7 linked regions of the Rattus norvegicus genome follow. The protein of the gene in region 3 interacts with the protein of the main gene of each other region in a pairwise test. Links are inferred from orthologs where the notes say so. Each region holds a gene or a part of one and is shown on either strand. Other genes may lie near its edges. The genes, in order: Nup54, Ap1m2, Ap2b1, Ap1m1, Itsn1, Cltc and Neu4.

Region 1 (4,525 bases), on a different chromosome or scaffold from region 3:
ATCACACTGAGGCAAGCTGACAGGTTCTATTTTTAATTAAATCTATAAACAATCGGTCTCAGAGTATCTAAAATATATGACTAGAATGACATGCCAAACTAATTTAAAACAAAGTATCGGCAGCAGTTACCTGGGTACAGATATGCTATCAAAGACTCTCACAGCACACATCTGAACCCGAAGTGCTGAGTTCCACTCCAGGCTTTCTGAGATTCTAACCTGAACCTCATCTATTTCTTGTAATAAGAGAGCCTCTTCAAGATTGCAATGAAGATGGGTATGGTACTATATGCTTGCAATCCCGTAAAGAGAGATACTAAATCAGGAGGAATACAACTTTTTCCCTGAGATGCCATTCTAGAGAGAAGAATTTAAATTAGTTTTAATCAATGTGGTGCTGTTTTAAATCCAGGACCTTGCACACTCGAGGCAGGCAAGTGGTCCATCACTATCCTGTACTCTTGAACTCTTAAACAATACAATTCAGATTTTAAAAATTATTGAATAGGCAATTGCACACATGTAACTTATAGACTCTACTGAATATTGCCAGCTAAACATTTATGAAACATCTAAAATAACTACTGCCTTTGGAGCCCTTTTAACTTCCTGCTTTAGAATAACTATGTTATTCAAGTTGGCTACACAATAAAAATGCTAGTCACTATCTTATCATGTTTCAAGTGATCAAAAATACTCTATTAGGGGGTTGGGGATTTAGCTCAGTGGTAGAGCGCTTGCCTAGGAAGCGTAAGGCCCTGGGTTTGGTCCCCAGCTCCGAAAAAAAAGAACCAAAAAAAAAAAAATACTCTATTAGTAATATTAGATCTGTATGGATACAAAAATGTAATTTTTAAAGCTCTTTCCTGAAGGCTAAGTTAATTAACCTATTTGAAAACAATGGAAACACACTTATATTTGTACAACTGAAAAATAACAGTGACAACTTCAAATGGACATGAAATCAAGCAAATACAAACAAGTTTATTTGTTGCTGTTAAGCTATATGGTTTGCTTTATTCTGAAAACATGAATTTCAAAATAAGGTTTGTTTTGCCCAGTGCCAATTTTAAGCAAACTAGGAAATGTAAACACGGGGTGGTGATATGTAACACTTCCAATATTTCTCAGTGAGTCACTTTATCTTTGGAATTACCAAGTATTTTCCACATTATTTCCAACTGAAAGGATAAAGTGACATAAACAATGCAAAACCAAGTGAATGGACAAAAATACCTGACTTTCCAAGTAAGTTTAGAGGTAATGTTAACCAAATGCATATAATTGGCAAGGGCAGGAGTGGCTTAACGGAACATAAACTATGGACGATAAATTCATATACGAGCAGCTGAGGATCAAGATTTTTCTAAGGGTCATATGTTGAGCTCACATAAGCCTAACTTAAATTGGGATATACACATCCACTATATTTATGTTCTGAAAAAATTTAGTGATCATCAAACAACCCACAGATTAAAATAAAAAAAAACTTCATCATCTTCTTTTTGAATGTAAAGATGTCAACCTTACTTTTTTGAACTCAATGTCATCTGGTAAATTAAACTACCATGGAGAATTTCCCAAAAATCCAGCAAAGAATCCACAATTCTTTCTACAATTATGTATCTTGAGGACTACATTCGAATGTGTTGAGTTGATGTTAGAAAAACAAGACAGGTCACTGCTGTTCGTATAAGACTTGTTTCTCTTGGAAACACAAGGACAATAAGATGAAATCCCGATGAAATATGTATAAAAAATGAAAAATGACTGCAGGAGTCCAAGAATCCCGGGGAAACGCTGACCTTATGCTAGAGCTAATGATTCAAAAGGCATTCCGTTCCAAATGCATTCCATCCCAAAGTTATCATTTTGAAGCTGCACTCTGTATGATTAAATGCAAATCCAACAAAGAAGTATTCTAAGTGTTTCCAAAAACCACATCTTTTAAGGCAGTCAAAACTTGAAATATACTTGATTCGATCTTCCTTATTAGACACGTGCCATTTATTCCCCCAAACTCTAGAAACAACGGAACATTCTTGGACTCCAGCCCCCATACTCATTACACACATGACCCGCAGTATCTACCTGCACTCGCCAGACTGTTACCAAAATTGAACGGAGTCGCCGAGGTGGTAGAAACACCGAAATTCCCAATATTAAAGTTCACTGCAGGGTTAGCGGTTAATCCGAAACCCCCAAAATTAAACCCACTGGCGGTGGAGTTGGCAGTCTCAAGCCCACCAAATCCTGATAGTCGTGGAGGCAGAGAAACAAAAAATTGAAAAGGTGAGAGGAGGGGAAGAGAAAAGGAAAAGAAAGCAAGATAAGAATTACAAGAATCAGCAAGAGGCTTCACAGAGTGAGCAAACCTGACCTGCACCGGATCAGGGGAAGAAAGTCGAGGTGGGGACAGACAGAAGGAGTGAAGGACACCAGGGGCCGGGGTCCAGCACCCCCCCCCCCCGGGTTGGGGAGGGGACAGAGGGAACTGCGGGCAGCCTTACCCGTCTGGGCAGGGAGGAGAGGCGGACGAGGGGACACGGGGTCCCGGGAAGGGAGAGGGGCGTAGCCTCCGGCCTCTCTCGGGCGAACACCCCAATGGCGGGAAGCAACGCGGCGGCCGGGCCACGCGGGATAAGCGTGCCATGTGATCCCCAGGCCGAGCCTGAGCAGCCTGAGACCCACCCACCACCGCCGTCGCCGCCCGCCCTTTCCAAATGTCCCCAAGGTGTCGGGAGTGCCCGGGCAACCCCGGGACCCCCAGCCGGACCGATCGGATCGAGGGGGCGGGCCCTAGGCTTCGGTTCCTTGGAGGAAGAAGGTAGGACCAGGGCTGACTCACCCGCCGGTGCCGCGGTGGCTGTAGAGGTGCCCGAAGTGCCCGAAGGAGCCCCAAAATTGAATGCCATGTCGCGGGAGCAGCACTTAAGTGGTCCCCGGCTCCGGTGGCGCGACGCCCAGTGCTCTCCGCTCTTTCCTCCGGCTGGGAAACGTCGGGCCCGTACCTTTAGTTCCGCCTCCTTCCTGGCCTAAGCGGAGGAGGGAGGAACCAAGCGATGATGGAGTGGGTGGAGGGTAGAACGGGAACGCCTCCACCCGATCATTTCCGGGGGTGTGTTGTGGCTTCACGTGGTGTGGGACGTCACAGGAAAGGGGAGATGAGGGCAAGTTGGACGTGGGGTGTTGTCTGCCGGCTCTCTGATGCCACTTTAGAGAAGTGACAGGGTGCGGAGACCGCGTGAAGGTGCTGCTGCCCTTACCACTGAGGAGCGGTCCTTCCCGGAGGAAATGAGGTTTGAGTAGATGAAGCAGTTGGGAAAGAGGCATTCAAGAGTGATGGAAAGATAATGGCAGTGGTGGTAACACGTGTGTTAACTATGTGGCATGCACTCTAGTAATCGTTTTTGCATAATTCTCTTAATCCCCAGCTGTGTTTCAGTTTACCACTATTCTTATTGAACGAGAAAGGGGCGAGGGGGTGGCTGAACCGAATGAAGCAAAGGAGCCCTCTCACTGGTAAAATCTGTACCCTGTATCCCACTTCTGGGGAACATTTAACACTCAATCCCACAGAGAAGATTCTGTCCTTGACTAATTTGGACAGACAAGAGAGTTGCTAAGCAGCCATCCCCAAAGTCATTTCGCTGGTACATCCTGGAGTCTACCTTCACACAAGGTTTTTCTCTACTTCGCCCAAATTATTTTAAAAATATTTATTGTACATGGCACTGTGTTACATTAGAACATTTTGATACAAGTATATGTTGTATTTTGAACATATATCCCCATTCCTAAATTTTCTTTCTTCTCCCCCTCCCTCCCATTAGTTCCCTAGCAGTTTTATTTCATTTACCATGCCATATATATGAGTTTATGTATTTAATTAAACCTAGGAGTCATAAATGAAAAGTTTTTTCCTTCTGTGACTGGCTTAATTCACTTATCCCCAGTCATATTCATTCTGTGCAAATGACATAACTTGATTCTTAGGGTTGAAAATTCTTTTGAGTATATATACCACCTTTTCTGATCCATCCCTCTGTTGCTAGGCAGCTAGGTTTGCTGGTGTTGGTGACTGGTGCTTCAGTAGACATTGATGTACATCTGTCTCTGTGATAGGCTAACTTGGAGTCCTTATAGACCTAGCTGGGTCATGTGGTAGATATGGTGTTAGTTTTCTCAGGATCCTTTGTGCTTGTGTGTGTGTGTGTGTGTGTGTGTGTGTGTGTGTGTGTGTGTGAGAGAGAGAGAGAGAGAGAGAGAGAGAGAGAGCGCGGGCACATGAGAGGGCACACATGCATGTATGTGCACATGGGCCTGGAGGCCAGAGATTGACATGGGTGCCCTCCTAGTTTACTCTTATTTTTCAATACAAGGTCTCTCACTAAATCTAGAGCTCATCAATTTGGCAAGACTAGCCAGCCAGCAAGCCCCAGGGGACTCCTGATTCTGCCTGCCCAGTGTTAATGGTTACAGGTGAATGCCATGTGCCCAGTGTTTGTTTGATTTTAAATATGGA
Region 2 (3,981 bases), on a different chromosome or scaffold from region 3:
GTCTTCAGATCCCATTACAGATGGTTATGAGGCACCACGTGGTTGCTGGGATTTGAACTCAGGACCTCTGGAAGAGCAGTCAGTGTTTTTTTTTGTTTTGTTTTGTTTTTTTGTTTTTTTGTTTTTTTGTTTTTTTGTTTTGTTTTGTTTTTTTCTTTTTATTTTTTAGAACTGGGGACTGAACCCAGGGCCTTGTGCTTGCTAGGCAAGCGCTCTACCACTGAGCTAAATCCCCAACCTTCTGCCACCAGGCTTGATTCCCATTTTTTTTTTTTTTTTAATTTTCGTATTTTCAAAAAGGATCCCACTTAGTTGTCTAGGTGTCCTTGAACGCAGTCTCTCTAGTTCAGGTTGGCCTTGAACTTGAGATCCTCCTACTTCGACCTCCAGAGTAGCTGGGATCACAAACATCCACCTCTTGCTCAGAGTGAATTCTTTTTGCCTCCTGCTCTCTCCTGGCAGGCCAAGGGTCAGTTTAAGAAGCAGTCGGTGGCCAACGGCGTGGAAATCTCTGTGCCTGTACCTAGCGATGCAGATTCTCCACGCTTCAAGACCAGTGTGGGCAGTGCCAAGTATGTGCCTGAGAAGAATGTCGTCATTTGGAGCATCAAGTCTTTCCCTGTGAGTACTGGGAGAGGTGGGGCCCAGGGTGGGAGGATTTCGGTGGTGCTGGTGGGGCTTGCCTAGGCCACATGACAGAAGGAGAAGAACGTCCCAAGTACCTCATCTTAGAGGAGGATGCATGAGGATTACACGGATGCACATGGCTGTCCTTGAGAGCCGAGGAAGGGGAAACCCAGGCTATCTGGCTCCAGATTGGTACACTGTATGTGGTGGCCCATGTCTGTCTTTCTCCCATTTGGGAGGTGGAGGCAGGAGGATAAAGAATTCAGACTTACCCTTACCTTGATGACTACTTCTAATCTAACCTAGCTGCATAAGACCCTGCTTGAAAAATCCAAACCTGGGCTGGAGAGATGGCTCAGAGGTTAAGAGCACTGACTGTTCTTCCAGAGGTCCTGAGTTCAATTCCCAGCAACCACATGGTGGCTCACAACCATCCCTATTGAGATCCGATGCCCTCTTCTGGCCTGCAGGCATACATGCAGGCAGAAAGCTGTATGTTGTACACATAATAAATAAATATTTAAAAAAAGAAAAATCCAAACCAAACCAGTCAAAGGTGGGGAAACTGAGGCCTTGTGAAACAGCACCTCCCTTCCCCCACAAGTCCTTCAGGGATATGTATGGCCTTGGTGCCTAGTTTCTCTTTCATAAACTCAGCTCATCTGTAAAATGGGTTGGATGACATTTGACCCACATTATTTTTTGTTGGTGTTGGTTTTTAGACAGGGTGTCACTATGCAGTCATGGCTGGACTGGAACTTGCTATATAGACTGGGCTGGTCTTGAACTCATAGAAATCTACTTGCCTCAGCCTCCCAAGTACTGGGATTAAAGATTGTGTGTGTGTGTGTGTGTGTGTGTGTGTGTGTGTGTGTGTGTGTGTGACAAATATGACCCACGTTCTTGGAACACTAGTGGCTTTATTTTATAGTTACTCTGTGTGTGTATGTGTGTTTTTGTCTGTCTGTCTGTCTGTCTGTCTGTCTCTCTCCTCCAGACTGAGGAACAACAGTTAGCACCCTTCCCTTGCTTGTACTAGCACAGACTTTTCCTATGGGTCTCAGCCAGCACTCTTGTGTTTGGAGTCTGTGCAATGGACAGGTACAACTGCTGTGAGGGTTGTCTGAGATATGGAATGACTCTGAGAGAGTCTGATGCCTCTGTGTGTCCACAGGGGGGCAAGGAGTACTTGATGCGTGCCCATTTTGGCCTCCCCAGCGTGGAAACTGAGGAGGTAGAGGGCCGGCCACCCATCGGTGTCAAGTTTGAGATTCCATACTTTACTGTTTCCGGCATCCAGGTGAGGAACAAGGGTGGGGAGGTATCCTCCTTTCCTCCCTCCTGGCTTTAGTCACCTCCCAAGTCACGTCTCATTTATTCATTTCAGCATTTATTTATTTTGTGTATCAGTGTTTTGCATACGTCTGTGTACCACGTGGTTCCAGGTTTCCATCTGCTGTATGGATGCTGGTACTTTAATCCAGGTCCTCTGGAAGAGCAGCCAGAGCTCTTAACTGCTGAGCCATCTCTCCAGCCCTGTGTTAGGGTTTCTAAGGATTGCCGTGACAAGACACTGTAACCAAAAAGCAAGTTGGGAGGAAAGGATTTATTTAGCTCACACATCATTGGAGGAAGTCAGGACAGGAACTCAAAGCAGGCCAGGAACCTGGAGGCAGGAGCTGATGCAGAGTCCATGGAGAGGTGCTGCTTACTGCTTGTGTTTCATGGCTTGCGCAGGCTGCTTTCTTATATAACCCAGGACCAGCAGCCCACAGATGGCACCACCCACCACGGCCTGGGCCCTCCTTCATTGATCACTAATTGAGAAGATGCCTTACAGCTGGATCTCATGGAGGCATTTCCTCAACTGAGGCTCCTCCCTCTCCGATGACTAGCTTGTGTCAAGTTGACACACAAAATCAACCAGTCCAATCCCCCTTTTTAGTTGTGTTGTTTTTGAGACAGGAACTCACTGTAGCCAGGCTAACCAGGAACTTGCTGTGTAGACCAGACGGCATTGTGCCATAGAGACCTGTCCTGAGATCTGAGGTGTGCACCACCGCATCAGGCATTTTTTTTTTTTTTTTTTTTTTTTTTTTTTGTAATCCAAGCTAGCCAAGGACTTACTCTGAAGTCCAGACTAGACTCAACTCAATATCCAACCCAGACTGGACTTGAAGCTATGACATCCTTTTGTCTAGATTTCCAAGCAGTGGTATGAAGTCATGTGTCCCCATGCTCAGTTCTCTATTTCTTCTTTGTCGTTGGCCTGGGAATGCTGCCTCTTCTGTTCTCAGGCTGGCACTTTGCCCTCTCCCCACTCACATCTACATGTGCCACCGTCCCTGCCACTGCCCCTGCTTTCCCTGCTCTCAGAGAGAGTATCCTTTGTTTTCTTGACCTTCTCCCCAACCCTCTTCTGTATTCTCCAGTCTGCTCCTTCCCCTATGGGCCTGGATCACTTCTTCACCCATATTGAGCTCAGACTCCCAGTTAGCATCATCCTAAAGCATGCCCTATATATTTTCTTTTTTTTCGGAGCTGGGGACCAAACCCAGGGCCTTGCGCTTGCTAGGCAAGTGTTCTACCACTGAGCTAAATCCCCAACCCCTATCTTTTCTTGACATAAGCCACCACTTTTCCTTCTGACTCTGTTCAACTCATCCTCCCAATACCTTCCCCCACAAATACTGGAGATTGAACCCAGGGACTGACACATGCTAGGCAGGGGCTCTACCTCTGAGTCTACCCCAAGTACTCACAGGGGACTCTAGAAGGGAGTTTCCTGCTAAGACACATCCCTCTTCCTTGGCTGATCCTCTTTATGATCTTCCAGGTCCGTTACATGAAGATCATCGAGAAAAGCGGGTACCAGGCCCTGCCCTGGGTCCGCTACATCACCCAGAGTGGTGGTAAGGTGTTGGGGCTCTCTGGGACAGTGGGGGTGAGGAGGTAGGGGGTGTAGGGACTTTCATGCCGTGTTGGGGCAGTTCTAAATTGTAGCATGGCTAGCACCAAACCTGTCCTCACCATGCTTCCACATATTTAAAATGGAGTGGTCGGCCCGCTGCAGCAAAATGTTATACTTAGCACGTTCAGATGCTGCCTGGGTGCGGGCATGCTTACCAGGTGGAGGAGTCCGTGTGGCACCCATCCTGATCTAAGCAAAACTTTCTTTTGTGTATGTGAGAGTAAGGCTAGAAACCAGGGCTTTACGCACGGTTAAGTAGGAGCTCTAACATCCAGCCACATCTGGAATTCTAGGCAGTAGTTCTACTTTTGAGCCACGTCCCAAGCCTACAAGCCCTAGTAAGCATTGTGAAGTATTTCCAGGGGTGATTCTGTGTCGGGACC
Region 3 (3,981 bases):
ACACACCTAGTATATCATCTCCATTCTTTTTTTCTTTTTTCTTTTTTCCTTTTTTTCGGAGCTGGGGACCGAACCCAGAGCCTTGCGCTTGCTAGGCAAGCGTCATCTCCATTCTTAAAAAGTTTATCTGTCTCTGACACTGCACCATCTCAGGTAGAGAAATGACTGTTAATTCATTCTAAAGCTTCATGTCTCTTCAATGCTGTAGTCACAAGAACAGCAGCCTGATCCTCCCCTAAGCTGGGGAGTGCAGCAGCATCACTCACATGGCAGCTGGGATTTGAGGACATAGCAGCAGTCATTTCACACAGCTTTGGGCCTCTGTGTCTTTCATTAAAGCACTTTGTTTCCTTGTATGTTTGAAAATATCGTTTTCTCTAGCATCTAAAGAATTCGTTTGCCTGCTTTAAAAAGAAATTAAATATCCAGTTTAATAAATCTGACTTGAAAAGACTTGTGCAGCTCTGTCCTTTTCTAAAGCTGTGAAACTGAGGCCCACATGGCTCACAGTGCAGTAGTAGTGACCTGGGAAGTGTACATCTGATCCTCAGTATAGCTCTCCTGGTTGGGGAGCAGTATCCCAGAAATGGACATCAACACTAGAGTCGGTATGGAGATTCCACACACCCATACACCCATCTCTCTATTCCCATCAGAGTATTTGTACCTGTCTACCATTGTGATGCTTACTATTGTCAGTTTGATAAAGTCTAGAACCTAGAAGGCAGGGCTCTAACACACCTGTGAGGCTATCTAAACTAGATTAACCTCTGGGTGTCCCTGTGTGGGATTTCCTGGATTCATTCCTTGAAGTGGGAAGACCCACCTTAACTCTGAGTGGCTTCCTGCCTTGAGGTGGAGTCCTGACCTGAAGGTACAAGGCGAAACACGTTAACACTAGCATTTGTCTTGGGCTGACTAGATGCAGTGTTGAACAGCTGCCCCTCACTCCTGCTGCTGTGACTCCCACCATGATGGGCTGTACCCTGGGACCGTGAGCCAAAATAACCCTCCCTTACATCCCTTTGGCCAGAGAACGATGTTAAAGCAGTGGGGAAAGTAATTAACACGAGAACTTAGTTTGTTCTTAGTAAACCCTGAGGCTTAACTTATCTGTTATATAACCTCCCCAGGTAGCTCTTAAACCAGTGTTAGTTCACCTTACTGTTTTCTGTCTGATAACACAACAGGCAGGCCCTTCATTTTGCCTCTCTGTATCAGAAGAACCTCTGGACATCTGTGTATGCTAGAATTCATCAGGGAACTCAAGGATATGTGCCAGCTTACAAGAATGGCAGAGAAGGGAATGTGTTCACTGGAGACTTAAACTGAAAGTCTTGGATCTCTATTTCTAGACACAGTTTCCAGCAAGTTGCAAAACAACAATGTTTACACTATCGCCAAGAGGAATGTGGAGGGGCAGGACATGCTGTACCAGTCCCTGAAGCTCACTAATGGCATTTGGATTTTGGCAGAGCTGCGGATCCAGCCAGGAAACCCCAATTATACGGTAAGGCCTTTGCCAGAGTGTGTGAGAGGGGTTAGAGTACAGAGGTAAGAACCTGTACATTTATTCCGTAGTGTGCTGCAGAGACCTGAGGAAGTACTTCCCACCTGAGAAACCCCAAAACAAGCATGCACTCTGTCAGGGAGTCCAAGTCGCATTCATGAAGTGCCTCCTCTTCTCACTGTGGTCTTCTGACTTATTAGGCATGGTGCTGGGGCAGACCAGGGTAGACCTTCTGCCTCTGACTGTAAGGAGTTCTGCAAACCCATCACTTCTCTGACACCTAGAGATACCTCCTGCTCGGCATCAGTGTGGTGCGAGAATAGGCCGTTAGAGGAATGTCTCTAGCTGGGCACCAGGTCACACCTGCAATTCTAGAAAAAGAAAGGTGGATCGCTATAAATGTGAAGCTAGCCAGGACTTCTTCGTGAGACCCTGCCTTAAAAAAAGCCAAAAACAAACAAACAAACAAAACCCCTGTGTTCTGAGGCTGGAGAGAGATGGTAAGGGTGCTTGCTGAACAGCCAGCCTTACCAGTTCAGTGAGAGAGCCGTCCCAACATGTTGGGATAGAAAGGATAGAGCAGAGGGCCCAGTGCACTCCACAAAAAAACAAAACAAAAGCCATCTCCTAGCTTGCTTACATTGGACCTTGTCTACTTTCAGAGTTCTTGGCCTTAGGATGTCTAGACCTAGATTTGAACATGTAACTAATTAGTCATTCTTAACCATGGTTTCCTTAACAGGGAGAGAAGTCTCCAGCCTATAGGTTTCTCCTGTAGCTTAAGAAACCTCCTCCAGGGGGTTGGGAATTTAGCTCAGTGGTAGAGCACTTGCCTAGCAAGCGCAAGGCCCTGGGTTTGGTCCCCAGCTCCGAAAAAAAAGAAAAAGAAAAAGAAGAAAGAAAGAAACCTCCTCTAGAATACCATTGAGCAGAAGTAAAAGTTACTGGATGGCTTTGCCCAGGAGAAACTACCACTTTGCTCGGCAGTGAACACTGGTCCTCGAGGCCCTAAGCTCTGGTGCTGATATAAAGTGTGATCTCCCAAGAAGCCTTGAGATGAGGAAATACCTTACTCTCATGTTAGACTGTTTAGAAAGAATTGGCAGGGGAAGAAGATTCAATAATGACTAGTTCTGAGGAATGTCCTAGACCAAGGGATTGTGGTTAAAAAGATTGAGAGAGGCCAGTGGGATGGCACAGTAGACAAAGTTACCAAGCCTGATAAACTGATAAAGGAGAGAATGCCCCCTCCAACTGTCCTCTAACCACCACAAGTACTGTGGCACATACACAAATAAATGAAATAAATGCAATTTCTTTTTTTTTTTTAAAGGATGATGAATGAGACTAGACCCTAGTGACAGATCTGTGATTCCAACTATGTGGGAGGCTTAGGCAGAAAGATCGAAAGTTTAAGGCCAGAGTAGGCAACTCAGAGATTCAGTCTCAAAGAAAAACTAAAACTTGGGCTGGGGAATGTCACTCAATGGCAGAACTCCTGTCAGCTAGGCCACACCACAGGTTCAACCCCTAGTATTAAAAGTGGGGAAAAATGATTAATGACATTGTTCAAACTCATGTAGAATTTGGGGGGAGGGGAGGTTAATAGGCAAGTGATATTTAAGGTTCAGATGTTGTTGATGGGTCCTGATGCACATTGTTTGAGATGGACTGTTCATTCTCTTAGATAAACTATACAAATATTTTATTTTGGAAGTACTCACAAGACTTTTAGTGGGACTTTTCTTTTAACCCAGTTTTTCATAATGTTAATGTCTTACACATCTACTTTCAAGACTAGAAAATAACTAATGTAGCTGTGGACATGAATGAGACTGTACATTACATACTCTCTTAGGGAGGGGCAGAATGACCTGTTTTTCTGTGTGCGAGGGATCATTTATGGCTTGGTTTGGGGTGGTTTTTTTGGTTTTGTTTTTTGTTTTGCTGGAGTCGGGTGTTTGTTTGTTTGTTTGTTTGTTTGTTTGTTTGTTTGTTTTTGAGGCAGGGTTTTACCAGGTAGCCCATGGCCTGGAATTCATTATATAATCCAGGCTGGTCTCAAACTCAGATTGAGCTGCCTCTGCCTCCTAGGTGTTGGAATGTGGACCCAGCCCTGGCAAGCACTCATTGGTTCTCCACGACGATTATATCATTTTGAGAATGTTACAGAAAATAAGTCATCACATAGTCTCTTTCTCACGTGTCTGTGTGAGATGTGCGTATATGTTCATATGTATGTGTGCTCACTGTGTCTTAGTTGATGTTCTATTACTGTGAGGAGACACTGTGACCACAGCAAATCTTAAAGAGACACCTCAACCCCTGCCCAGCCCCCCGTGGCACACTTCCTCCAACAAGGCCACACCTACTGCAGCAAGGCTCTACCTCCAAGCATGCTGCTCCCTGTGAGCCTAGGGGGCCATTTTCATTTAAACCACCACAAGCAGCCTTACCCAAAGCCTCTTTTC
Region 4 (3,981 bases), on a different chromosome or scaffold from region 3:
CTTACCCCTTGTGTGCTGTGTCTGCACAAGGCCCAAAAAGAACTCAGAAGGAAGCGTCCTCACTGCACTCTCCCAGCTAGAAGCAGCAGAGACCGTGCTTTCTGAGGAGCAAATGCAGCAGCAGGTGGTGCCAGTCTAGCGTGGCAGCTCAGGAGAACTGCAGCACTGCCACATGGCCAACCAGCCATGCTGACAGCAGGCAGCGTGACAAGACAGGCACTGTCACCAAGTAACCAGGACCTCCTCAACCCTCACCCACAGCTTCCTCATGGCCCCTTCCTGCAGCCATTTCCTCAGGGTAATTCCAAGGAGCAATTCCTGTTTGGTTCCTTTCACTATGCACAGTGACTCTGAGGGTAGAGCCTACCTGGGCGTCCTCATGTCCTGCAGCTCAGAGTCCCATGTCCTGCGTTCACATTCTTATCTGCCCTCAGCTGACCACGAATGGTTTTGTGTTTTTTTTTTGTTTTTTTTTTTTTTTTTTTACTAAGTGTGTGGGGAGGCGAGAGGGATACGGGTATGTGCGAACGTGTGCAGGCGTCCCTGGAGGCCAGAAGTAAACATCAGATCCCCTACAGCTAGAGTTACGAGCACTTGTGAGCTACCCAATGTGGAAGCTGGGAACTGAACCTGGGTCCTCTGAAAGAATAGCAGTGCATGGGGTTGGGGATTTAGCTCAGTGGTAGAGCATTTGCCTAGCAAGCCAAGGCCCTGGGTTCGGTCCCCAGCTCTGGAAAAAAAAGAATAGCAGTGCACTTAAGTAACGAGCCATTTCCCAACTCCTGGGATTTATTTATTTGCTTATTTGGTTTTATATACATACATAGTGTGTATCTGTATATGTATGCATATATGTGTGTGTGTGTGTGTGTGTGTGTATGCACATACACACACATAATTTTTATTTTATGGTTGTTAGTATTTGACTGCATGTGTGAGGGTGTCAGAAGCCCTGGAACTGGAGTCGTGGATAGGCGTGCACTTCTATGTGATTCTGGGGATTCTGCAAGAGCAGCCAGTGTTCTTCATTGCTAAGCCATCTCTCCACCTCCTGTTTGTTTTTTGAGACAGGTTTCTCTGTGTAGCCCTGGCTGTCCTGGAACTTGATCTGTAGACCAGGCTGGCCTCAAACTCAGGGATCCACCAGCCTCTGCCTCCTGGGTGCTGCGATTAAAGGCCTGCACTGTCATTCCCAGCAAACCTAGGATTTTTTAAAAAGACAGGGTCTCACTGTGTTCAGTCTGAAACTTACTATGTAAACTTCCTTACCTCTGCTTCCAAGTGCTAGGATTAGAGGTGTCATACCATGCTTGACAAAGTATTTTTAGCAGGGAAACAGTTTGCTATATAAGTGTGAAGAACTGAGTACAGATTCCTAGGACCCACATAATACCAGGAGGGTATGGCAGCCCGTGATCCCAGGAGCCTGCTGGCTAGCTAGATCATCTGAGGTGGCAGCACAAAGAGAGAGGGGTCGGGGAGAGGGAAAGGTGTTGCATTTGAACTGGGTTTGGTATCTCATGCCTATAACCTAACCACTCTGGAGGCAGAAGGACTGCCGTGAGTTTGAGGCTAGCCTGGGCTACATAGTGAAATCATCACGACAAAGCAAAAGCCTCAGGAATGTTTTTTGTCAGAGCAGGCTGTCCTTAGATACCACAGCACTGTATTGGAGGGCCCTCAGATTCTGGAATCCTGGGGTCCTGGAACAGCCAGATTCTCCATACATCTGTTGCAAGACAAGTCCTTTTGTCTCTGGTGTGGCTCTATTTAAGATTCAGCCACTGGGGTGTTCATTTATGTGGACTGGCTCATACCTGTCATCCCAGCACTCAGGAGGTAGCAGCAGGAGAAACAGGAATTCAAGGCTATCCTTGGCTACATAGTGGATTTGAGATGTGCCGAGGCTCCTTGAACCCACTCCCGGCTTCATTCTCCGTTGAGTGCCCATGGACACACAGCTTCTCTGATTCTCTAGGATGAGCCACTGGGTCATACTTAACTCTGGTGTCACTTTCTGAGGAGCCACCAACTTTGGCTATTTCACAGGATGATGGACAGTGGTTCAGACACCATGCAAGGAGGAAGACCAGGGCAGGGCTATTCCTGTACAGGCTTCAGTGGGATCCCATGAACTTGGACTCCTCTGGGATCAGGTGCTCAGGAGAGCCAAGTGTGCCAGCACAGCAAAGACACTGAGAGGGTCTGCATGGAGTGCTCATAGGGCAAGGCTTGGCCCAGTGTCTGAGGGGATCAGTCCCTCCTTTCTCCACCTTCTGCTGAAGGAAGAGCCTTGTGGTGGGACTTCATAGGGTGAAAATCAGACTAGCCTCAAGTTGTGTCCCTTCACAGATGGTCCCCACCCCTACCTCAGACCCTCAGAGGAAGCCACCCCTTCTTTCCTTCCTAATGCAGGTGCTCATCTGCAGGAACTACCGTGGGGATGTGGACATGTCAGAGGTGGAGCACTTCATGCCCATTCTGATGGAGAAGGAGGAGGAGGGCATGCTGTCACCTATCTTGGCCCATGGTGGCGTTCGTTTCATGTGGATTAAGCACAACAACCTGTACCGTATCCCTATGCTGTGGAGTCAGGCCTTGGGGATGACACGCCTGCCCACCAGCACAGAAGAGCTGGGCAGCCAGAGGACACAGGCCTCACACAGAGGACACAGGGAATGCTAAGTATTCCAGAAGCTGCAGCTGTGGGAGGAGGGGAGAGACACAGGGCAAGAGTGGGAGCCAACTGGGCCTGAAGTTGTCCTCTGGAGATGTGTCATGTTAAATGGGGTAGGTCTTTGGATGGGGTGGACTGGCTATAGGTGGCCTTGTGGTCTAGAGATTTCTGGCTGCTGTGTATGGCCACACTGTCAGGAGCAGGAGTGGACAAATGAGGGGAACAGGGTAGGAGTAGGGGTGGGAAGATCTCATGTGCCCTACATCCTCAGCCCTGCTTCAGCCTCAAATCAAGTGTGATGCCAGGTGGAGACCCACCGTGGCTGCACCCACCACTTTGGGCTTTGAGCAGACCTCTGGAGATCTGGCTGTGCAGGAGCTCTTCAGCTGCCAGTCCCCTCGTCAGTAAATGTGTGCATGCGTGTAACCCCTACAGGCACAGATGCCACCTCTTCCCAGGGACATGGTCTTCCCTTGCAGTTCCTGCCCTGCTCTCCCTCCCAGGCATAGGGTTTTTTCCCTGATGTATATTAGCATTTGTGAACTCCCTTGTAGAGTGGGCCTAAAGTCCAATAGAAAGGTGTTGGTGTCACCCATGATATCTGTGCCAGTAGTGCACATGTGGTGTTTGAGCACACTGGGTCCATAGCTGAGCAGGAGTGTTGATAACTGTTCATCAACAGCCCTCACAGCCCTTTCTGGCACTAGGAAAGCCAACCAGCAGGGTGGGAGTTTCCATTTGGTTCCAACTTAATTTCCCCATGTTCTGCAGTCCAAGTGCAGTGTCTTCAACAATAGGCTCTTACCATCCGGTTCTGCTGTACAACAGCAGCAGCGGCCTGCATGGCTCATGGAGCTTCAGGGTGTCCTGCAGCACCTCCCAGGAGATAGTCTGCCCATGGCACAGGGACTTCACCCAATAACCTGATGACCTCCGCGAGTGTCCTTCTCCATCCATGTAGGGTACCAGTTGGATTTAAACTCTTTACCTGTTTAAACAACATTTTGTTTTTTACTTTTTAAAGGCATCATTTGTAGACATATTTTACCTGCATGTTTGCAGGCCAGAAGAAGGCATTGGATCCCCTGGAACTAGAGTTAAAGCCAGTGATGAGCCACCATGTGGGTGCTGGGGATTGAACTTGGGTCTTCTGGAAGAGCAACCTATGCTCTTTACCACTGAGCCATCTCTGTAGCCCTCCACTTTTCCTTTCAATTATTCAAGCCTCAGCTGGGCTGTAAGGTAGGTAGAAGTGCCATTACACCTGGTCGTCTTCATGTTAGTGAAGTGACTGCTATCACTAT
Region 5 (3,981 bases), on a different chromosome or scaffold from region 3:
TGAGCCAGTCAAGTAAAGGTTGTGCCTGGTTCCAAACAGAGAAGCCACAGCTGCCACCTCAGCTTCCGCAGGGGCTGCTCATAGCTTTGCTTGTGCACACCCTCACTGCAGAGGGTAGGAGGTGGGGCTGGGGAGGGGAGGGCACAGGCAGTCTCCATGCAGGAAGTGCTCTTGGAATTTAGAAGAGGGGGGGAACCACAGGGAAGAAAGGGGAGAGAAACACATTATGCCTGGGGTTTTTGGAAAACTCTAGCAATCGTATATACACATGCATGCGAGCCTGTGTGTTCACGGATGTATCCGTACACCTCTGTGCTCGGGTCAGGGGAAACACAGGCAGAAAGAGTGAGAGTGGAGGCTGAGAGACAGGAAGAGGAAAATACCAACGAAGACTCCTGTGTGGGTCAGAAGCCCAGAGAATCCACCAACACAAACTTTAAAAAAAGGAGCAAAATATGAAACACTTTTAAAATTCAAGCTGGTTAAAATAAACTAAAAAAAGAATGTGCCCATTCTCAAACCATAATGAAAATGAAGTTACTGGATCAACCACCAAAGGCAGCGTCAGCCGGTGCCCTTTGGACCTGTTGACACTGAGCCCCACACTGTGTGGCAGAGTAAAGACAGAGGGACCCCAGGCTGAGGTGATGAACTCAGCAGGGCGACTCTCCAGAAAGAAAAGCAAGGGGGTTGGGGATTTAGCTCAGCGGTAGAGCGCTTGCCAAGCAAGCGCAAGGCCCTGGGTTCGGTCCCCAGCTCCGAAAAAAAAAGAAAAGGAAAAAAAAAAAGAAGAAAAAGAAAAGCAAGGACACTTTGCTGACTTCAGCTATGTTATGTGGACGAGAATGCGCCCCCTGGGCCCTGTGCCCACCAGGCCGCTCTCACACAGGACCACAGCTGGGATTCGCTCGTGCGATGTGACCCTCAAACTCCCTCTAAATAAAACTTGGGATGGCCCGGGGAGCAATCTGCTCAGGGAAAATGCAAGTTCAAACAGTGAAGACACACACAGGGGGACGTTCAAAAGACACTAGAGGAGACAAAAAAAAATCATATTCCAGGAGCTGAGGGTGTGGCTCGGAAGAATAGCGCTCAACCGACATGCAAGAGGTTTGGTGGCTACTGCAGAAAAGGAGACCACTCTACACAGAGAAAACTAAGGGGTGAGGGTGTGAACGCTAGCAGAAACAACAGACAGAAGAGTAGGATCCACGACCGCGGGTACTGGGACTGTCCGATGTTAGAATACATGCGAATATGTTTAAAGTGCGTTAGAAGTAGAGGAGGAGGAAGAAAAGAAGGAGGAGGAGGAGGAGGAGGAGGAGGAGGAGGAGGAGGAGGAGGAGGAGGAGGAGGAGGAGGAGGAGGAGGAAGAAGAGAAGGAGGAAGAAGAGGAGGAAGAAAAGGAAGAGGAAGAGGAGGAAGAAGAAGAGGAGGAAGAAAAGAAGGAGGAGAAGGAGAAGGAAGAAGAGGAGGAAGAGAAAGAGGAGGAAGAGGAGGAAGAAAAGGAAGAGGAAGAGAAGGAGGAAGGAAAGAAGGAGGAGGAGAAGGAGAAGGAAGAGAAGGAGGAAGAAGAGGAGGAAAAGAAGAAGAGAAGGAAGAAGCATGAACATTTGAACAGGACACACAAAAGAAACCAGGACGTTTGAAAAAATAATTTTTTGGCAGCGGGAAATAATATCATTGAAATTATATGATATTAATATAATTAATGAGCTGAGGAGACACGCTGCTAGGAGAATACGTTCTAGCTGGAGAGGAAAGGGAGAGATTTGCCTCATCCCTTCTGTACCGGCTGCCAGTGTTCAACCAGGAGTGGTCCAGGCCCCGCCCGCCCGCCCGCCCGGTAGGTGGCTACCTCAGAAAGGCCTTCGCACTGCACATGCGCCTGGATCCACTCCAGCCGGTCAGAGTTCTCCTTCTCTCGAACTCCCTCGTTCACTTGGGAGCACAGCTCTTCTGCTTTCTCCAGGGCGTGCTTCAGGTGGCTGTGGTCGGGGTGGTTTTCAGGAGTGTTTTCCAGGATCTGTACAGAAGACAAGACCTTTGTCAGGACTCTTTTCTCGGTGTTGATGGACCTGGACCCACGGTCATGGAAGTCACAGTGTTTTCCTGCATGGTGCCCACCATAGCCATGGCACAGGGTGCCCTGGCCACTGGAGCAGCCTCGGGCTCAGTGAGGGCTATACTTGTTGCTTGCAATGAGTGGCCCTGCCCTTGGGCCCTCAGCCCAACCCCAGCCCTCTGAATGTCCCAGCACAAACTCCGTAACCTGTCCTGCAGAATGCTGGCTCCCAGCATGGACACTAAACCACCCACACAAACATCCCAGACCTGGGGATGCTGCAGAACAGTGCAGCAGAAGGGGCTCAGCTTCTCCTCCAAAATCTCCACCCTGTTTCACTGAACAAGCAACTCAGCCAGAGACCAGGGGACTGGCCAGGCATTCCTGCAGGCAGCCAGCGACTGCTCTTCCCCGGCTCACTTACCCAGGGGAATCCTGGTGTTGGAACTGAACAGTACCCCGTTAACTCTGGAGTGAGGGTTTAGGAGAAGGCAGGGCACCCCAGGGTGGAGTGGGATAGGTGCCATACCCCGTGTGTTCGCGTGCCCTAGGGAATGTACAGGGCCACAGGCACCTGTGCATCCTGGAAATCAACTAGGAGGTTCCCCTGGGCAAATATGTGTGCTTTGTGTATGTGTGGGGACATGTGCTGGTTTGTACATGCTTGGCCCAGGGAGTGGCACTATGAGGAGGTATGGCCTTGTTGAGGTAGGTGTGTCACAGTGGGTGTGGGCTAAAATACCCTAGTCCTCACTGCCTGGAAGTCAGTCTTCCACTAGCAGCCTTCAGAGGAAGATGTAGATCTCTCAGCTCCTCCTGCACCAGGCCTGCCTGGATGCTGCCATGTTCCTGCCTTGATGACACTGGACTGAACTCCTGAACCTGTAAGCCAGCCCCAATTAAATGTCCTCATGAGAGTTGCATTGGTCTTGGTGTCTGTTCACAGCAGTAAAACCCTAAGACAGAGTACACATATGTATATGCGTGTGTGCCTGAGTGGAGGCTGGAGGACATCCTCGGCTGTCGTCTTTCAGGAGCCATCTTCCTTGTTTATGAGGCAGAGTGTTTTGATGGCATCCAGGGCTCACCAATGAGGTGAAGCTAGCTAGAATTCCTCCATCTCTGCCTCCCAGGGCTAGAACACACCCTGCCACATCCTGCTTTCTTTTTCTTTTTCTTTTCCTTTTTTTTTTTGGTTCTTTTTTTCGGAGCTGGGGACCGAACCCAGGGCCTTGCGCTTCCTAGGTAAGCGCTCTACCACTGAGCTAAATCCCCAGCCCCCACGTCCTGCTTTCTACACGGACACTGACGTCCCATGCACTTCACTGGCCAGGTCACCTCCCCAGTCCCCGAATATGTTTTTCTGAGTGTTCTGTTGTTTTTAACCTGAGCAGAGCTGCCCCAGCTAAATGTAACAGCACAGCCTTACCAGGCGGTTTGCGGGACTGGCCATCCTTCCAGGATGGGGCATGCAACGAGGGAAATAAAACAGTTTTCACAGCTACCATGCCCATGTAATTGCTTTCCTTACTGAGTAGGTGTCCTGGACTACATTTTTCTTTTATATTGATTGCTATGACTCTAGGTTTGGGGCCAGGGAGATGGCTGAGTTGCTGGGTAAAAGCATGGGCCGTGCCACCATGAGAACTGAGTTCACCCTCTGGAACCCACGGTGGAAGGAGAGAACGGACTCCCGAAATTAAAATTGTTCTCTGACTGTCACATGTGTGCCGTGGTAACGAGCTCTGGGTTCCCAGCACTCACATGCCAACTCAACCGTCTGTGACTCCAGTTGCAGGGCATCCAAAGCTCCCTTCTGGCCTCTGAGGGCACCAGGTATGCAGTCATACATGAGGACAAAACCCCACACAGCAAATAAAAGTAAATCTTTAAACAGCTCAGTTATCCTACTTTCC
Region 6 (3,981 bases), about 3.3 Mb from region 3:
TATAAAAATCTCCACTGCAGTGCTGTGTTACTTAGTTAGAATTCTTATACTGGTTTGGGTACAGTGTGTGCATGAAGGTGTACAGGTGCTGTGTCTTGCCAGTCACCAGCATGCTCCAGAGGTCTTCCTGTCTGCCTACCCAGCCCTGCTTGTAGGCGATGCTAGTAACCAGAAACTGGGTCACACTTACCAATAATCTTCATGATACTTGGAATTTAGAAAAGAATTGGAGATAGAATCTTGCTACACTCACAGGATGATGTTAATTAACTCAAACTCATACTCTTTCTTTCTCTCTCAAACTCCTAAGTACTAGGGACTTTAAGCTGTTAGACCCAAACATTACTTGGATTTTTGGTTTTTGAATTATCAATCCTCTTTGTGTGCTGACTTACTGCTTTCAATGTCTTAATTTCAGTCATGTATCAGCTAACGATTTGGAGTCAATCCTAATTTATTCCCTTTCTTTAATGGTGATGAACTTAATATAAATTTATGGTTTTAGATTTCACTTTCCTTATAATATTTTACACACACACACACACACACACACACACACACACACACACACACAAACAATTTTACATTTATATAGTACAATTTTAATGTTTTTTTTACTTTTTGTGTCTTCTGTTATAGTTAAATATGACCCATTTGAATATATTTGGATATGTAATGAGAGGAAAGTATTCCAGGTCAGAAAGAAGTGAAACATTTTTGTCACATTTACCTGGTCAATTAATGGTCTTCTGTATGGATTGCTTTCCAGTAGCACACTACCCCACAACTCTGGATCCTTTCGACGGACCAGGTAGCGAGAAAGACTTTTGAAGAGGGAATTCTCATTGCAAACCTAATTAAAACAGCCAGGTTAATTTCAGCGCAATTACAGAAAACGAGTCTGACAGTTATTTGCAATCATGTCAACTCTTTAAAAAAAAAAATCTAGGGAATATCACAGTCAAATATTCCCATTAGAATTCAACAATGAAAAGAAAAAAGAAATTTTAGGAGCTTTTTAGAAGACTCCTAGTATAGCACCTGGTTTTCTTCTTTGCTTGAGCTTCAAATTTCTTTATCCTCCTCTACTTCTCACATGCTAGAATTACAGACACACACTCGCATATTTAGCTTATTTTTGATGTTCAAGCACTAGTATTGTATTAACTTTAAATCATAGCTTTGTATTACACTCTAATACAGGTCTGGTTGCCTTCAAAACTTTCTTCCAGTGTTTCATTAGATACTGAACACTTTTCCATACACCTGCATATAAATATGTATCATCTTTGAAAGCACATACAAACACAGATAAGTTTCTAAGATCTGACCACAGAACAACGCTAGAAGCAATCTTCAGGGCAGAACTCAGTTACTAACGGCATCTTTCATTAAAAAGGGTAGGGGCTGCCTGGAAAAATGGGCAACTCTAATCTGGGAAAGTTGCACAATGAACCTTGAAGTTCATCAACAACCAGGCAACAATGTGAATGCTAACAGAAATTACAGTAATGGACTGTAATTCAGAGTACAACAGGAGTCCATAAATCCGAGAATACTGACGAATAAATATGACAGAACTTTTTTTCAGTGCTGTGATTGTAATCAGGGCCTCATTCATGCAGGCCCAGTAACTCTAACCTGTAACTGGTAAACAGGAGAAAGGGCTACAGTAGTCATCAACCTAGTAACAATGTCTTAGGTTACAAAGGCCTAGTAAGCAGGGACAAGGAGAAAGGACCTGTGGGTGAGTGTGCTCATTTCTTTACCAAAGTACTCCCGAATGGGAAGTGGACAATTCAGTGGAGACTGGCAACATAAAGAAAGAAAATGGCAGCACAGAGCAAACATTATTTAAGCAGTATTCCAAGTAGAGATGTATGATCTAAAAATCTAATTATAGAGAACCATTATTGAAATACTTGATTTTAGCTGCAAAGCAAAGAAATGATTCAGGGAAACTCAGAAATGTTTTTCTGCGGCCAGGCATTCAGCACTGCAGGAGGAAGAACCAGAGGCCATACATTTATATGAAATGTACAGGGGTCAGCAATATGGCTTAATAGGTAGCTTGCCACCAAGGCTGATGACCAGAGTGGTTCATGAGACCCACATACATTGAGGAGATAAAAGATTCCCACTAGTTGTTCTGACTTCTACATACTTGTGCACAAGTAATAAATACTTTAATTAAAAAAAAAAATACAGAACAGGGAAATCCACAGGAGTTGGGTGTGGTTTGGCAGCTGTGAGGTTCTATGAGAAGGGAGTACATGAAGATTTACTAAAAAGAAGCTCTCCTTTCTCAGTGCTGAGAGCCTGGAAAGTGGGAAAGAGTGTTGATTTGCAACACTCAACTCACTAAAAGCCACTGAGATGTTCACTTTACAATGGAAAATTTGATTATGCACTTATTTCACAGCAACAACAACAAAAAACCTAACTAAATACAAATTTCAAAATGAGTTTTAGCAAACGTATCTATCATTTAAAAACAAACAAGTTTCCAAGGACTGATTTAGAATAAAGAGGCTGAAGAGTGGACACAATGGTGATGGTAAACTACAGAAAACCCTGACAACACTGAAACCAAACCTTTCAGAGTTTCTTGTTACCCTCTGACTGACTGTTGCTGGTATCTATATAAAGATACGTCTTCATTCCTAGAAAGTAGAACCCGATGGATACAAACCCGTGAGGAATGTACTGTGGCTGAAATGCTATGTTAAGGTACGCTTGAGCGTGTACAAGAACACAAGCAGAGCTGATACAGGCCAAATCAGCAGAGAGTGAGTGTACAGACTTGCGTTTACTACTATCTCCAAACACAGTTTTAAAATAGCACCCATCTGTCCAAAACTGTTCTGTATTAACTAAAAACCGTATAGAAACTCAAACAACTAGTTAAAAGAAATACAGACGTCTCTGTCCCACTCAGCAAGCAGTACTTACGTTGATTAGTTCCAGATCACACTGGCCACGTTCATAAGCAACACAGGCCAGATGTGGGTCTCTCTTCTCACAGTACTTTCCCACGACACGACTGTCATAGTAGGGGTTTTCACGAAGGAATCTCTCTGGGTTGTTATTGCTGTCGATGTATATTTTGGCTAACGCATTGTGTGTAGCAGGCTCCTCACAGCCCTCATGAATTCTAGCCTCAAGCCAAGGAAGAAGCAGCTTCAATCTAGTAAAAACAACAGAACCCAGACAGACTGTGTTAAAAACAGCACAATCTTCTCATAACTATAGAGATATAGTCACATTTCAGGAAAATACACTAACAAAAACCTTTCAACTCTAAAAGCGAGCGTGTCACCCTTCTGTTAGCTGCCTCCATAAATTTACCCCATGTGTTGAGTGGCCGCAGTCAGTCAGCTGTACTTCAACTCTTCCTGCACTATCAGAAGCCACAAACTTATGTGCTATAGGAGAGGAAACAGTACCACACCTGTTTCTTTTCTCAACTTCAGCAACAAGCTCATCAGTAGAGAATTGACCTCTCACAACAAGAATCAAATTTTTAATGACATCTTCAGAGCAGTCAACATCCAGCAATCCTCCAATAACCACAGGAAGTCGACTTGGATTTACCTATGTTGGAAAAAGAGAAAATAAAAAGAACACCGTTACATGAATAAGCAAAACTGAGGCAAAAACATAAAGACCATTTCTTCTGTTAAAGCCCTGTTTTTAAAATTAGTAGTAAACTATGAATCCAAAATTATGGTTAGATGAAGGAAAAGTCTACCTAGAAAGACCTCATAGTCTACTAACAGGCAGGCAAGCGCTCACCCTAGTCTCTCATGTTGCTTTGGTTGATCAGTTCCTCCTAAGAACTGCTCCAAATGTTGAAGTATACAATAACAACAGCAGAGATGACTGTGACGATTACTAAGTAAAAAGTCTCAACACCGGCAGCACTGCCTTACGAGAGTATCTTGAAGTTGATAAAAGGTTCTAATACCTAACTTAAGACAT
Region 7 (3,638 bases), on a different chromosome or scaffold from region 3:
CAACGATGACCCCCAAGAAGTGGGAACCAATATCAACCTCCTTCCATTAAAGTTCACCTAGTCTATGGCACATGGCTACTAACAGTGAAGGCAGACTGAAAGACCCTGCCCTAAGTCTATTCACTTCCTCCTTCCCTACCCTTCAGGGCCACAGTCACAGGGACTCTCCCACAGAGTCCTTAGTGGCTCACCAGAGCTTGAGGACCTCGGAGTTCAGGGGCCACTGGAGTTCAGGCAACCCAGGGAGGAGACCTGATCCTGACCTTCATGCTATGCTCTGCTGAGGCAGGTAAGTCAGTAGCTTCTGATGGTCTTAGATGGTTTTAAGCCCCAGTTAGTGGGTACAAAGCTCTACTACCTGGAGATAATGGGACCCACCTCAAAACAGTACCCAGCCCAAGGCTTGGTCAAGGAACACAGTGGTTTATTGTGGACAATACCCAGAGCAGTAAAGATTTTTCTTGCGGGTTTTTTTTTAATGTATGGCTTTCTAAATCTTCTAATTTTCTAAAATGACCATAAACCTGGGTTTTGTTTTGTTTTTAATTTTGTAAGGAAGTGTGCATGCATGGGTGTGTATCCTATATTTTCAGAGGTCAGAGATCAACTCCATACTTTGAGGCAGGGTCTCTCACTGAAACCTGGAATGTGCCAATTAGACCAAGCTGTCTGATCAGAGATCTCTTGGGGGGATTTATTTATCTCTGCCTCTCCATGCTGAGATTACAAGTATGCCACCAAATTGGGCTTTTTATGCGATGCTAAAAACAGAACTCAGATTCCTCTGACTCCATGGCAAATGCTTTACTGATTAAGCCGTCACCCCAGGCCTCCACAGATTGTTTTTATAATCAGAAATTAGGACTCTAATAAGAAATACAAGAGGGCACCAGGCGGTGGTAGCACATGCCTTTAATCACAGCACTTGGGAAGCAGAGGCAGATGGAGCTTTGAGCTCAAGGCCAGCCTGATTTACAGAGTGAGTTCCAGGACAACCAGGGCTACACAAAGAGACCCTGTCTTTTTTTTTTTTTTTTCCCGGAGCTGGGGACCGAACCCAGGGCCTTGCGCTTCCTAGGTAAGCACTCTACCACTGAGCTAAATCCCCAGCCCCCGAGACCCTGTCTTGAAAAGGAAAAAGAAAGAGAACCGAGGGAACAGCTCTGATAGAACAAGAGCCCTCTCCAGAGAAGGGTAAAGAAGTGGACCCACGGAGCAGGTCCTCAGACGTAATCGCTGCTCGAGTCAAACTCTGTCCCCACTGGCTGGGGAGGCTCGCTCCCCAACCTGCTTCTCCTGCAGGAAATCCAGAAAGTAAACAGCCCTCGGTCATCAGCACATATCAAATTGGCTGAGGTTGGCACCCAGAGGGTAGTGGAAAGCGGTGTGGTGATGTCCACTGTCCCAGCACGGTGAGGTCCTCTGCCCTCACCCCTGCCGGGCACCCTTGGGATGTGAAAGCCGAGCAAGGTGCCGGTGGGAGATGTGCGTGGTGATCAGAGCGGTGAGCTAAAGTACCAGCACCCGAGCTTTGATACAGAAAGAAAAGTCACAGCACAACCCCTTTATTTCTCACGGGCACCCAGAAAGCAACTGGCTGCCCGGTGAGTCACCCCCACCAGCCAGTCAGGAGACAGAGCTCTGTTCGTCCTAGGGTCAGGCTGACCTGACCTCCTCTATATAATCTGCCCTTCCTCCCCAAGTGCCTGCCAGAGGACCAGGCCATCAAGAGGGCCAGCAATGCCCCTGAGGCTTATTCCTGAGACTGGATATCTCTAAGCCAGTGGGTACATTCTCCAGGACATCAGCCAGTGAGAACAAGCAAAAAGAAATGTCTTCATAGGAAGCCCTGGTCCCGCTCTCAAACAGGCAGGCAAAAGCCAGGGATGCCCCAGGCACAGGCCCAAGGAAGGCAAGGTCAGAGTAGCCACTGGGGCCTTCATAGATTATCCAGGGCTCTGTCCAGCTGTGAGGGTCCAAGGGGGATCGGCTCAGGTAGATTCCCATATGGAGCCGAGCTCTACGCCCTGCTGGGTGGGAATATAGCAACCATGTGGAGCTCTGACGCACGGAAGCAGAGGACATAGGGAGTTCCGGGCTCCAGGATGTTTTTTCTCCATCTGGCCCAGGCTCTAGGCCATGATTCTCTGGGCCCCGGGACTGTGGGTAGCAGAGAAGCAACCTAGACGCCCAACCTTCAACAAAACCTCTAGCACCTTCCGCCAAAGACTCCCGTACTCTGAGATCGAAGCATGGGGAATGTGGGGTGTTTCCAGGACTCGCTAACCACCGGTCATCCTGAGGACCGATGGAAGGTGGAGCCGGGAAGCCCACAATGCTACCCTGGCAGCCGCGAGCAGTCTCAGCCAACGTAGGCACCAGCTCCCCTGGTAGGAAGGAAGTGCCTTCATCAGCACTCAGTGCCTGCACACGGTTACCCAGAGGGCTCCGGGCATTACAGTAGAGAAAGTCTCCATCCACCGCAGCCAGTTGGCACTCTCCAGAGCGTAGGTTGGGCACAAGGCCTCCGCAATGCCAGGAGATCCCATGGTCATCACTGTAGAAAGCCAAGGAGTGGGGACTGGTCCAGCAGATCCTGCCAAAACACTCCCGACGGTCCACATGATAGGTGTAAGCAGGAACAAGCAGGCGACCCGAGCGCAGCTGGACTCCATGGCCTGGACCCACGGCAAAGGTGGCCCAGTCTACAGAGAGAAGGAAACAGACCCTTGGGTTAGGAGCGCTGACTGCCTCCCTTTACCGGACCCTAAATGCACTCAAACCAGAGGAGTCGTCGAGACGCTCTTCAGAATCCTAAAGGTCCGCTTGGTCGAGTATTTTCTTGGTTTTTAAAAAGACTTCATTGTAACCATGTGCATATGGAAGGCATCCACAGGAGTGCAGGTGCCCATAGAGGCTAGAGGTGACAGATATCCTGGAACTGGAATTATAGGTAATTATGAGCCTACCCAATCCAAGGGCAGGAGAGTGAACTCCGTTTCTCTGCGAGAGCTGTAAATCATACAAGCTCTTAACCTCTGAGAGACCTCTCCAGCCCCTTGGTCAAGTGTTTTGCTTTTTGTCTTGTGATACTAAGCCTGGAAACCAAGCCAAACGAGTCATCTACCACTGAGCCACTCCCCAGCCATTGGCCAGCAGAGGCTTGCTGATCACCAGGGGAGCTCGACGTCTGAAGCAGGTGCTGCCCAACAGCCGTGGAGGGAGGAGGGCCCGGATGAGGGTTTTGGATGAGCTTTTGTGCTGGCTGGTTTGGTGTGTCAAATTGACACAAACTAGAGTCATCAGAGAGGAAGGAGCCTCAGTTGAGAAAATGCTACCAAGAGACCCAGCTATAAGTCATTTTCTCAACTACTGATCAATGGGGGAGGGCCCAGCCCATGATGGGTCGTGCCATCTTTGGACTGGTGATCCTGGGTTCCATAAGAAAGCAGGCTGAGGAAATCATGAAAAGCAAGCCAATAAGCAGCATCCTCCATGGCCTCTGCATCAGCTCCTGCCTCTAGGTTCAAGCCCTGCTTGAGTTCCGGTCCCAATGCCATCCAATGAGGGATTATGATCTGGAAGTGTAAGCCAAATAAACCTTTTCCTCCCCCAACCTGCTTTTTGGTCATGGTAAT

The links.
Region 1: the proteins of Ap2b1 (region 3) and Nup54 interact in binary tests that used the Homo sapiens proteins (3 or more experiments, as listed by UniProt). The two-hybrid records come from large-scale screens. The link is inferred for Rattus norvegicus from reciprocal best matches to the Homo sapiens genes AP2B1 and NUP54.
Region 2: the proteins of Ap2b1 (region 3) and Ap1m2 interact in binary tests that used the Homo sapiens proteins (3 or more experiments, as listed by UniProt). The two-hybrid records come from large-scale screens. The link is inferred for Rattus norvegicus from reciprocal best matches to the Homo sapiens genes AP2B1 and AP1M2.
Region 4: the proteins of Ap2b1 (region 3) and Ap1m1 interact in binary tests that used the Homo sapiens proteins (3 or more experiments, as listed by UniProt). The link is inferred for Rattus norvegicus from reciprocal best matches to the Homo sapiens genes AP2B1 and AP1M1.
Region 5: the proteins of Ap2b1 (region 3) and Itsn1 interact in binary tests that used the Homo sapiens proteins (3 or more experiments, as listed by UniProt). The link is inferred for Rattus norvegicus from reciprocal best matches to the Homo sapiens genes AP2B1 and ITSN1.
Region 6: the proteins of Ap2b1 (region 3) and Cltc interact in a two-hybrid assay, tested with the Homo sapiens proteins (2 studies listed by BioGRID, with this or other methods). The link is inferred for Rattus norvegicus from reciprocal best matches to the Homo sapiens genes AP2B1 and CLTC.
Region 7: the proteins of Ap2b1 (region 3) and Neu4 interact in binary tests that used the Homo sapiens proteins (3 or more experiments, as listed by UniProt). The two-hybrid records come from large-scale screens. The link is inferred for Rattus norvegicus from reciprocal best matches to the Homo sapiens genes AP2B1 and NEU4.

The regions. Positions count from the first base shown.
Region 1 is NC_086032.1:15,900,490-15,905,014, reverse strand, and holds the start of Nup54 (nuclear pore complex protein Nup54), read right to left. Parts: upstream 2,982-4,525; 5' UTR 2,916-2,981; coding exon 2,849-2,915; intron 2,254-2,848; coding exon of another isoform or gene 2,092-2,253; intron 1-2,091. UniProt on the Homo sapiens protein: Component of the nuclear pore complex, a complex required for the trafficking across the nuclear membrane.
Region 2 is NC_086026.1:28,115,249-28,119,229, reverse strand, and holds part of Ap1m2 (AP-1 complex subunit mu-2), read left to right. Parts: intron 1-462; coding exon 463-621; intron 622-1,801; coding exon 1,802-1,927; intron 1,928-3,463; coding exon 3,464-3,539; intron 3,540-3,981. UniProt on the Homo sapiens protein: Subunit of clathrin-associated adaptor protein complex 1 that plays a role in protein sorting in the trans-Golgi network (TGN) and endosomes.
Region 3 is NC_086028.1:68,694,519-68,698,499, forward strand, and holds part of Ap2b1 (AP-2 complex subunit beta), read left to right. Parts: intron 1-1,355; coding exon 1,356-1,510; intron 1,511-3,981. UniProt on the Homo sapiens protein: Component of the adaptor protein complex 2 (AP-2). Adaptor protein complexes function in protein transport via transport vesicles in different membrane traffic pathways.
Region 4 is NC_086034.1:17,629,806-17,633,786, reverse strand, and holds part of Ap1m1 (AP-1 complex subunit mu-1), read left to right. Parts: intron 1-2,415; coding exon 2,416-2,572; intron 2,573-3,981. UniProt on the Homo sapiens protein: Subunit of clathrin-associated adaptor protein complex 1 that plays a role in protein sorting in the trans-Golgi network (TGN) and endosomes.
Region 5 is NC_086029.1:44,628,191-44,632,171, reverse strand, and holds part of Itsn1 (intersectin-1), read right to left. Parts: intron 2,027-3,981; coding exon 1,859-2,026; intron 1-1,858. UniProt on the Homo sapiens protein: Adapter protein that provides a link between the endocytic membrane traffic and the actin assembly machinery. Acts as a guanine nucleotide exchange factor (GEF) for CDC42, and thereby stimulates actin nucleation mediated by WASL and the ARP2/3 complex.
Region 6 is NC_086028.1:72,028,871-72,032,851, forward strand, and holds part of Cltc (clathrin heavy chain 1), read right to left. Parts: intron 3,595-3,981; coding exon 3,452-3,594; intron 3,188-3,451; coding exon 2,953-3,187; intron 854-2,952; coding exon 731-853; intron 1-730. UniProt on the Homo sapiens protein: Clathrin is the major protein of the polyhedral coat of coated pits and vesicles. Two different adapter protein complexes link the clathrin lattice either to the plasma membrane or to the trans-Golgi network.
Region 7 is NC_086027.1:101,847,069-101,850,706, reverse strand, and holds the end of Neu4 (sialidase-4), read right to left. Parts: intron 2,706-3,638; coding exon 1,726-2,705; 3' UTR 790-1,725; downstream 1-789. UniProt on the Homo sapiens protein: Exo-alpha-sialidase that catalyzes the hydrolytic cleavage of the terminal sialic acid (N-acetylneuraminic acid, Neu5Ac) of a glycan moiety in the catabolism of glycolipids, glycoproteins and oligosacharides.